2 linked regions of the Drosophila melanogaster genome follow. The protein of the gene in region 2 purifies or fractionates together with the protein of the main gene of each other region. This does not show direct contact. Each region holds a gene or a part of one and is shown on either strand. Other genes may lie near its edges.

What was found.
Region 1: the proteins of CG3226 (region 2) and CG2852 purify together in Drosophila melanogaster (affinity purification with mass spectrometry, with the first as the bait; one large-scale study listed by BioGRID). This does not show direct contact.

Annotation. Positions count from the first base shown.
Region 1 is NT_033778.4:22,643,884-22,648,143, forward strand, and holds CG2852 (uncharacterized protein), read right to left. Parts: upstream 2,462-4,260; 5' UTR 2,389-2,461; coding exon 2,299-2,388; intron 2,163-2,298; coding exon 2,038-2,162; intron 1,652-2,037; coding exon 1,249-1,651; 3' UTR 763-1,248; downstream 1-762. Other genes in the region: CG30195 (uncharacterized protein), read right to left, coding at 2,810-3,092, 3,148-3,326; CG34446 (uncharacterized protein), read right to left, coding at 3,695-3,880; CG34445 (uncharacterized protein), read right to left, coding at 4,106-4,250.
Region 2 is NC_004354.4:6,652,362-6,656,115, reverse strand, and holds CG3226 (uncharacterized protein), read left to right. Parts: upstream 1-1,867; 5' UTR 1,868-1,955; coding exon 1,956-1,970; intron 1,971-2,035; coding exon 2,036-2,208; intron 2,209-2,385; coding exon 2,386-2,890; 3' UTR 2,891-3,003; downstream 3,004-3,754. Other genes in the region: Cdc7 kinase, read right to left, coding at 344-566, 636-966.

The sequences.
Region 1 (4,260 bases), on a different chromosome or scaffold from region 2:
CTTCCGGTTGTATTGAGTTTACGAATGAGACTGAACTTATCGCTCCCAGCGCCTTGACTCCCCACAAAAACAAAACACTCAACTGATTGCTCTCGGGAATATAATCTTAGAAGTACGTCCAGAATTTCTGTGGTCACTGGAACATGTGTGGCACATGAGATTGCCACCAGACCCCAATACACATGCGTTTCATATAGATCCTATTGCTTTCATTAATGTATACACAGCGATTGTGGGGTCTGTGAAAGGGGTACAATTGCACATATGTACGTCTTCATATATATGTACATATACGATTCCCCACATTTGAACGATATGAGATCGTCTCTTCAGTTCTTGGTTTCTCTCGCTCTAAACAAAAGATTGGGGGACGTGAAGTCTAAGGATTGGCAGACATATGCATTTCTAGACAATGTTGTTGCATTTGAGTGCATTCGCTAATTGTAAAAGTTGCCAATTCATCAGCGTCTGAGATCTGAAAAATTATGCTATATATAATTAGTTACTAGAGGGCTGGTTTCGGGCTTTCACCTCTATATACATGGGATAGTATAGTATGGTATGTATATAGTAATCAATATTTAGTCCAAGGGTTGTGAAAGGAAACTTTCTATAAAGAACAGGATACTTGATCGAAAGATGAGCCAGTGGCACTTATTTAAGTATCAATCGACCCGATTAACTTCTGCAGAGACAGTCATGCACCTGTTCATTCAATCATATACAATTAGTTCCCAGCAGGCCCAAACAAACTGAATAAATATACAAATGAACTCGTCTGTGTGTTCTTTAATTTGTCGCAAGTGTGCAAATCAGAAAAATGTGACGAACCGAGCGTTGTTTATCAACAACAAAGAGAAAAAACAGACAGAACATGGGCAATCTAAATCGAGAACGGCACAACATACAAAGGCAAACAAATTGGCGAAGAAGGCACAAACCGGTTGCCACTAAGGGAAGTCAGAGCCAAAAGAAAGCGATGGAACCAAAACCGGTTCATTGAACCTGCACACCACCGGCATCATGGTATAGACACACAGAACGATTCCAGCTCTTTATCACACAAAAAATCATTCTTTATTTATGCCATTTCTGTTTTTAGTTGAGCACAATTACTTGCTTACGGAACGAAATGTAAATAAACATGGCGAGCTATGGTAAATGCAAATGTCTGGAAAAATCGATTATGCGTTTATGCTTAGTTCAAATCGGTTATGTTGCTGATGGATGACATGCTCCCCAAACACTTTAGTCGGTGGCATCGGCCTTGGCCACGGAGAAGGCCTCCGAAACGGGCAGGGTGCCGCTGTTGGCGATGACCACATCCTTGACGGGACGGTCGCGGGCATCAGTGGCCGAGTTCTCGATCTGGCGCACCACATTCATGCCCGACAGGATCTTGCCGAAGACGACGTGGCGTCCATCCAGCCAGCTGGTCTGCTTGGTGGTGATGAAGAACTGCGATCCGTTGGTGTCCTTGCCAGCGTTGGCCATGCTCAGCCAGCCGGCGCCATAGTGCTTCAGCTTGAAGTTCTCATCCTCGAAGCGCTCGCCGTAGATGGAGCGACCGCCGGTGCCGTCGCCCTTGGTGAAGTCACCGCCCTGGATCATGAAGTCCTTGATGATGCGGTGGAACTTGCTGCCCTTGTAGCTGCGGGGTATAAGAGCGTTGCATGATGGTCAGTTTTGTCAGCATGGGAATTTAAATTTAAAAAAAAACTGGGTTTAGAACTCGAAACCTAACCAAAAAAGAACATGCATACTTATAAATTCAGAGAAGAAAAAAGAAATACCCAAGAACTGCACTTTTATAGTATGGTAGACTTAATAACAGTTGGCGTTCTTTGTTAACCCATTAGTGCCGCTTTGTCAACTGATGTATGCGATTGGCCGCTCAAACGCCACGTAATTGCTTCAATCTGAGAGCCCCGCTATAACCTACAAAGTGCCGCTGATTAGCGGCATCTTTTGCTGGCCTAGCGGTACCTGGCACCCTACTATGTTGGGGTATTTTCGGTACTCAAGTACCCTACTCACCCCTCGCCCTGCGGCTTCAGCGCCAGCTCCTTGAAGTTCTCCACCGTCTTGGGCACCGTCTTGCCGAACAGACCGATCTCGATGCGACCAGCGGGCTCGCCGCCAATGGTGATGTCAAAGAAAACCTACGCAATCGGAAGCGGTTTATTATTAACAAGTCATCTCACTTGATTTATGGCGCAGCAAATGTGTGTGTGTGTTTGTGTGTGTATGTACGTGGTGTATGCAGAATGTAAGGACGAAAGTCCAAGGAGCACGCACCTTCTCGGTCACTTTGGGACCCTTGCTATCGTCGGCAACAACGACGCCGGCCACCAGGGCTACCACGAAAACGGATAAGAACAGCTTCATCGTTCTAAATATTCACAGCGCTTCAGTTTATTCCTCAAGCGACGTCGCCAATGGATATTTCACGACTGAATTTTCGGTTTCTGTTAGTGATGTAAGAAAACTTTGTTGCATCGCCAATCGATGTTTTCCATCGTTTTTTATGTTTTTGTCGAAATATCGATGCTTAAGTGTGACCATTCGATGACGATGTCTGATGATCACACATTCGGGCGGAAAATTCAAATTCAAATAGTTAATACGCCGAAAGCATAAGTTAAGGTTTTCGTACGAAGGAACAAAGTAAGTTCGAAGAGTTGACTTTATTGGTATAGTTTTTAATATTTTAGGGATTAGAAGTCCAGTTTGCATTAGCACGTAGCATTCTCTCTTGTTTTATTGACGGTTCTGTACACAAAAAGTAAGTAAAAAAATATGCTTTTATTTATTGGTGTACTGCTATTTGCGTCTGAGATTTGTCCATATCCTTGGCTGCCTTCTCTGCTCTCTTCTTCTCCCTGCTGGCCAGAACTTTCTCCCTGGATTTCTGGGCCCTTTCAGCGCAATCCTTGGGTCGTGTCTTCAGGGTCATATCATCCACGGCCGCCTGTTTACGGGCTGATCTCGAAATGCATCGTTCCATGCAGCTGATGGGCACAAATCTTCCAATGAAGCAACCGCAGTGTGAACAATAGTGATTGATGTCCTGGCGGCCAGACCATTTTTTACTGAAATAAAGTGAACATTACGAAAGATTTATAAAGCTTCATGCAGATGGCCAACCAAAGTTTTGTGAATCCCAGAAATCTCTGCAGGCAAGTGACCAACTCCAGTTGCACCAAACTGGTTCCAGACTTCTCACACGAAGGACAACGGATCCAGGTGGGCTCCTCCTTCAGGTATCCCACTTGTGGCTTGTGGCTGACAATGATGGCCACAATCTGCGGTTCGTCCACGGTCATGATGCGAGTTCCAGCGAGAACGATCGGTGACTGAAAGATGGATCAAATTTGGAGAGATCATGGGAGGGAAAATCAAAATCAGAATCACTCTCCCGATTTCTCTTAACCGAGGCGTTGGTCTGGTAATTAAGTTAGTGCATGGAAATCAAATGAGTTATTCTCTCTGCGTTACAAATGCCATTGGATGTACAGTGTAAAAAGTATAGTGTACATTTTGAGCATTACACATTAAATAGTAAACTTTTATTCGTTTCAAACAGCAGTATATTTATTATTATTATTGAATATAAATTAAATGACAAAACTGATCTACATTTGTTCATTGTGTTATAATAATTCGGATCCGATGATCCTTCTTCAGTGGGTATCTAAAGTTGTGGACGGCGGTATACGCCCAGGTACTCCCCGCAGGCACCGCAGTGATGCCTCTTGGTGCAGCAACGCAGCCAGGAACGCACCACACGGGTCTTGGCCTTGGTCCTGCAATAAGGACACGTAATGTCGTTGGGGCCGGGGCCCACGGCAAAGTAAAGTGGTTTCGGATCCTGAGCCATTTCGCACCGAAAGATGTTGACTGCTTTAAAAACAAACGCAGACTGAGGCTAGCGAAGAGAAATTGTAGGAATAAAATGTTCAAATGATATGCAAAGAGAAAAAAATCGGCCCAAAAAAGAGAAAATGTGATATTTTTGGCTTTATTTTTGTTTCGATGGTATTGCAGTAGTGGGTGGGAAATTGAGTGTTTAGAAGAATTTTAATAAATATGTGAACAATGCTGCCTAGGCGGTGGTTGCCTTCAATTTGAGTGGTTGCCTCCTCTTCATGGAACGTCCAAAGTAACAGCCGCAATTGCCGCAGTAATGACTTCGATCGGTTTGTTTGCACGGCACATAGTAATTAAAGCAGCAGCAGCAGCAGAAGGTCCTGTAAAAGT
Region 2 (3,754 bases):
AGAAAGGTGGCGAATTTTTCTCGCTGTGCACCGTGGGCTTCAATGTAACTGTAAATGGGCACGTGAATGGCGTGTGAAAGTGCAATAAACGAACGCTACAACAATCATGCCATCTCGCTTGCCGTTCGTGCGGCGAAATATAAATTGCAATGACGTAGATGGAGCCGCTGCCGGCGGCTGACGTCGTTTAACGGCGTTTGACGCAGACGAGGGGACGAAGCGGCGTGCGTGGGTGGGGTGGGTGGTTGGTTGTTTGGTTTACAACCAGTCGGGCGATACTATAAGGATACGGGAGGGCAAAGGACACAGGACACCAAGTGGGGAAACGAAATGAGGAACCTACCCCATTTTGGTCATGCACTGCAACTCCTTCATTATCCTATCCGGATGACTGGTTGGTATGTGATGCTTGATGGCGAACTTGCGACGCAGACTGTCCGGCAGATGCGATTCCCGGCGCAGTGTGCCCAGCAGCACCGTGCTAAAGGTTCCGTTGCCAATCCGGCTGTGAACATCGAACAGCTTGCCAATGTCCGGGATTCGTGTGAGGAGATCATTGATGGCTTCTGCAGCAAAATACAACCAATTAAATTCATCTGTATGCACTAACAAGTTGGATCAGCAACTGAACTTACCTTCGCTTTTGTTGCGTGCCTGTTTGGTTGTACGCGGCGTGGCGGGCAGACCCATGACTGCAGCTCCATTGAATTCCACTGTCTGCTCCTCGGTGGCGCCCGCAGTGGCGAATGCTCTGCCCGAATGCCTGCCCGCGCTTCCAGTTGCCGGAGTGCCGGTGGCATATTGCTGAACGGTCTGGCGCGGCAGCCTTTGGGTTTGCCTTGGCGCCGCACGCCAGGATCCGCCACCATTGGCGTACACCACATTGGTGCTGGGCACTCCCGTTTTGGGGCGACGATAGTGACTGCCTGGTGTGGCCAACTCCTGGCACATAACTCGATCGGCCATTGTTCCTCAGGAGCACAATCTTCTTGGGCATCGGCGTATTGATGGTGCTTGTGGTGGTTTTATGGCGGTTTTTACAGAAAAAAAAAGTGCCTAAAAAGAGCAAATTTTGACACGGAATTTTTTTTATTAAAAAATTTCTGTTCTCGGCCAGGCCAAAGTGTAAAGCAAAGTGTTTCCGAACGGTTGAACAGTTTTGACATTTGCCGTATGGACGAGCGGCAGCAGTAACTGAGATGACAACTCCTCTACTCACTTGGATAGTTTTTGTTTCCAATCCGGAGTCCTGCTGCGCCGCCCTTTTAATCCCGGAACTCTGGCTGTGGCGCAGCGTCCGTTGGTTGTATGTGGATACCCTGGATGGAGCACATGAACAACTCTGGTCACTGGTCGTATTGTCTGAATCGTGTGTTCTGGTCGGCGTTCCGCGGGAGCTGAGGTGCTATCAAACCATCGATGGCGCTACTGATAATATCGATGGTTCAGTTCCAGCCGGTTCGATGCCATCGATGGTTTTTTCGAGATTATGGATCAGTGTGCTCGCCGTCCGCCGGGGATGTAATACCAAAATTGCTTGTGTGCTGCCTCCAACTGGTCACCCTGGTTTGGCGGGAAAATCGCTTTTCCGGCGGAAGTAGAAGTTTATAACAAAAATCATATCAATTAATAATGGATCATGATTTACTAGTCATCTGCCCATTCTTGGATTCAAATATCACGTATTTCTAATTTGACATTAGTAAGCTCTAAAACAAAACAACCCTTTGTCGTAGTAATATATACATTTAATAATTAAATGTAACATTTTGTGCACCAAAGCTGGCACTTGATATACTGAAAATACCGTGAAATAGTATTTTTCGCAGTGTGCTCCGTGCTCGCCACGCGTTAATCGTTTTTTAGTACATTCACCACGGGCGCCGGCGTCATTGAATTGCTCGAAATTTCTGCGAACCTACAAAATTAATCAACTGTTATTCAGACAAAACAAAATGTCATTGGAACAGGTAAGTCCGAGTTGTTGAAAAACGAGCCATCAGTGAAATAACCCCACACCCATCGAATAACACAGCTGAAAAGCGATGTGGCCGAGCTGGCGGCCTTCCTGCAGCAGGCGAAAGGTGCCCGCGTAAAAGACGTGCTGACCACCGCTAAAGCGGAGGCGGAACGGGAGATTGTCAATCTGGAGTTGAAGGCCAAAATTGCGGCAGAGCGACAGGCCACCGGGTCGAGCGAAGCCAAGAGGTGAGCAAATCCATGAGGTCCAAGAAACCCAACACCCAATCGACCGAAACACAAAATCTCTTCGGGATTAGTCCATATCCCAAATGTAGTTCCACATCTTTCTACATCACTATATATGGGCAGAGATTTCTTAAACCATGCAAGCCCCACTAATGAATCCCCATTTCGATCGCCCAGATATCTGCACGAGCTGACCGACTACGGCTGGGACCAGAGCGCCAAGTTCGTGAAGCTCTTCATCACCTTGAACGGAGTGCAGGGCTGCACGGAGGAGAATGTGACAGTCACCTACACACCTAACTCGTTGCAGCTCCATGTGCGCGATCTTCAGGGCAAGGACTTTGGGCTGACCGTAAACAATCTGCTGCACAGTATCGATGTGGAGAAGAGCTACCGAAAGATCAAGACCGACATGGTGGCCATCTATCTGCAGAAGGTTGAGGACAAGCACTGGGATGTGCTCACCGCTATCCAGAAGCGTTTGAAGCAAAAGAAGGACAGCGAATTGTCCAAAGATGGCGACAATCCCGAATCGGCGCTTGTTAACATCATGAAGAAGATGTACAACGACGGTGACTCCAAGACGAAGCAGATGATCGCCAAAGCTTGGACCGAGAGTCAGGATAAGGCGAAGCTTGGCAAGGAGACGGGCGGCGGATTGGATTCTTTCGACGATCTTTAGATATGATAATAACCACACCCATTCGCGAATTAGCTAACTACCTAAGGCACTGCTTCGATTCCAGCACAATTTGTATATGTGGATAAATAAACTCCCAGCTAGGGCATTAAGTTAAAACGAGTGGTGTTTGTTCTTTTTTTTTTTTTTTTTTTTTTTTTTTTTTTGGCTTTTTATATATATATTTGTATATAGGCTTTTATTTAATTAATTAAATTCTTGTGATTAAAATCAATTATGCTGCTCGTCGCTTAGAGTACACCCTTGCGGTCTAATCTATTCCATTTGTAATAGTTAGTTTGCTTTCGAAATGAATTGATAATTACACTTTAGCTGTATTTAAAATACACTTTATATGTTCTGCGATATATATCCAAGTACACATATATAATATATATATATTATATGTGATGCGATGCTCATCATGGCCAGCGCTCGAGAACCCGTGGTGCACTTCATCTTGTTTTTTGCTCGATTTCTTATCAACCTTTTGGCATGCAAATCGGGCAATTGCTTAATTTTCTATAATTAAGTTTACACCACGGGTCAGGTGTGTGTGTGTGTGTGTGTTGTGGTGTGTGTGTATGTCTGTCTGTTTGTATTGGAACAATTTAATTGTTAAACAATTAATGATTAATTATTTTGGTTGCGATCTTTCTCGCCGCTTCGAGTTTACATATACATAAATTGGTATCATTTGGTGTACAATAAAAAGCTGAAAAACGCAACTTAAATTCAAAATACAAATTATAATGATAAGAAAAGAATACAAAATGAAACTGATACAAGATATCGACAGACTGAACATTAAGGCCGATTTTACGAGTACATAAGAACTATACAACATGTGGGCAATTGGACAAACAC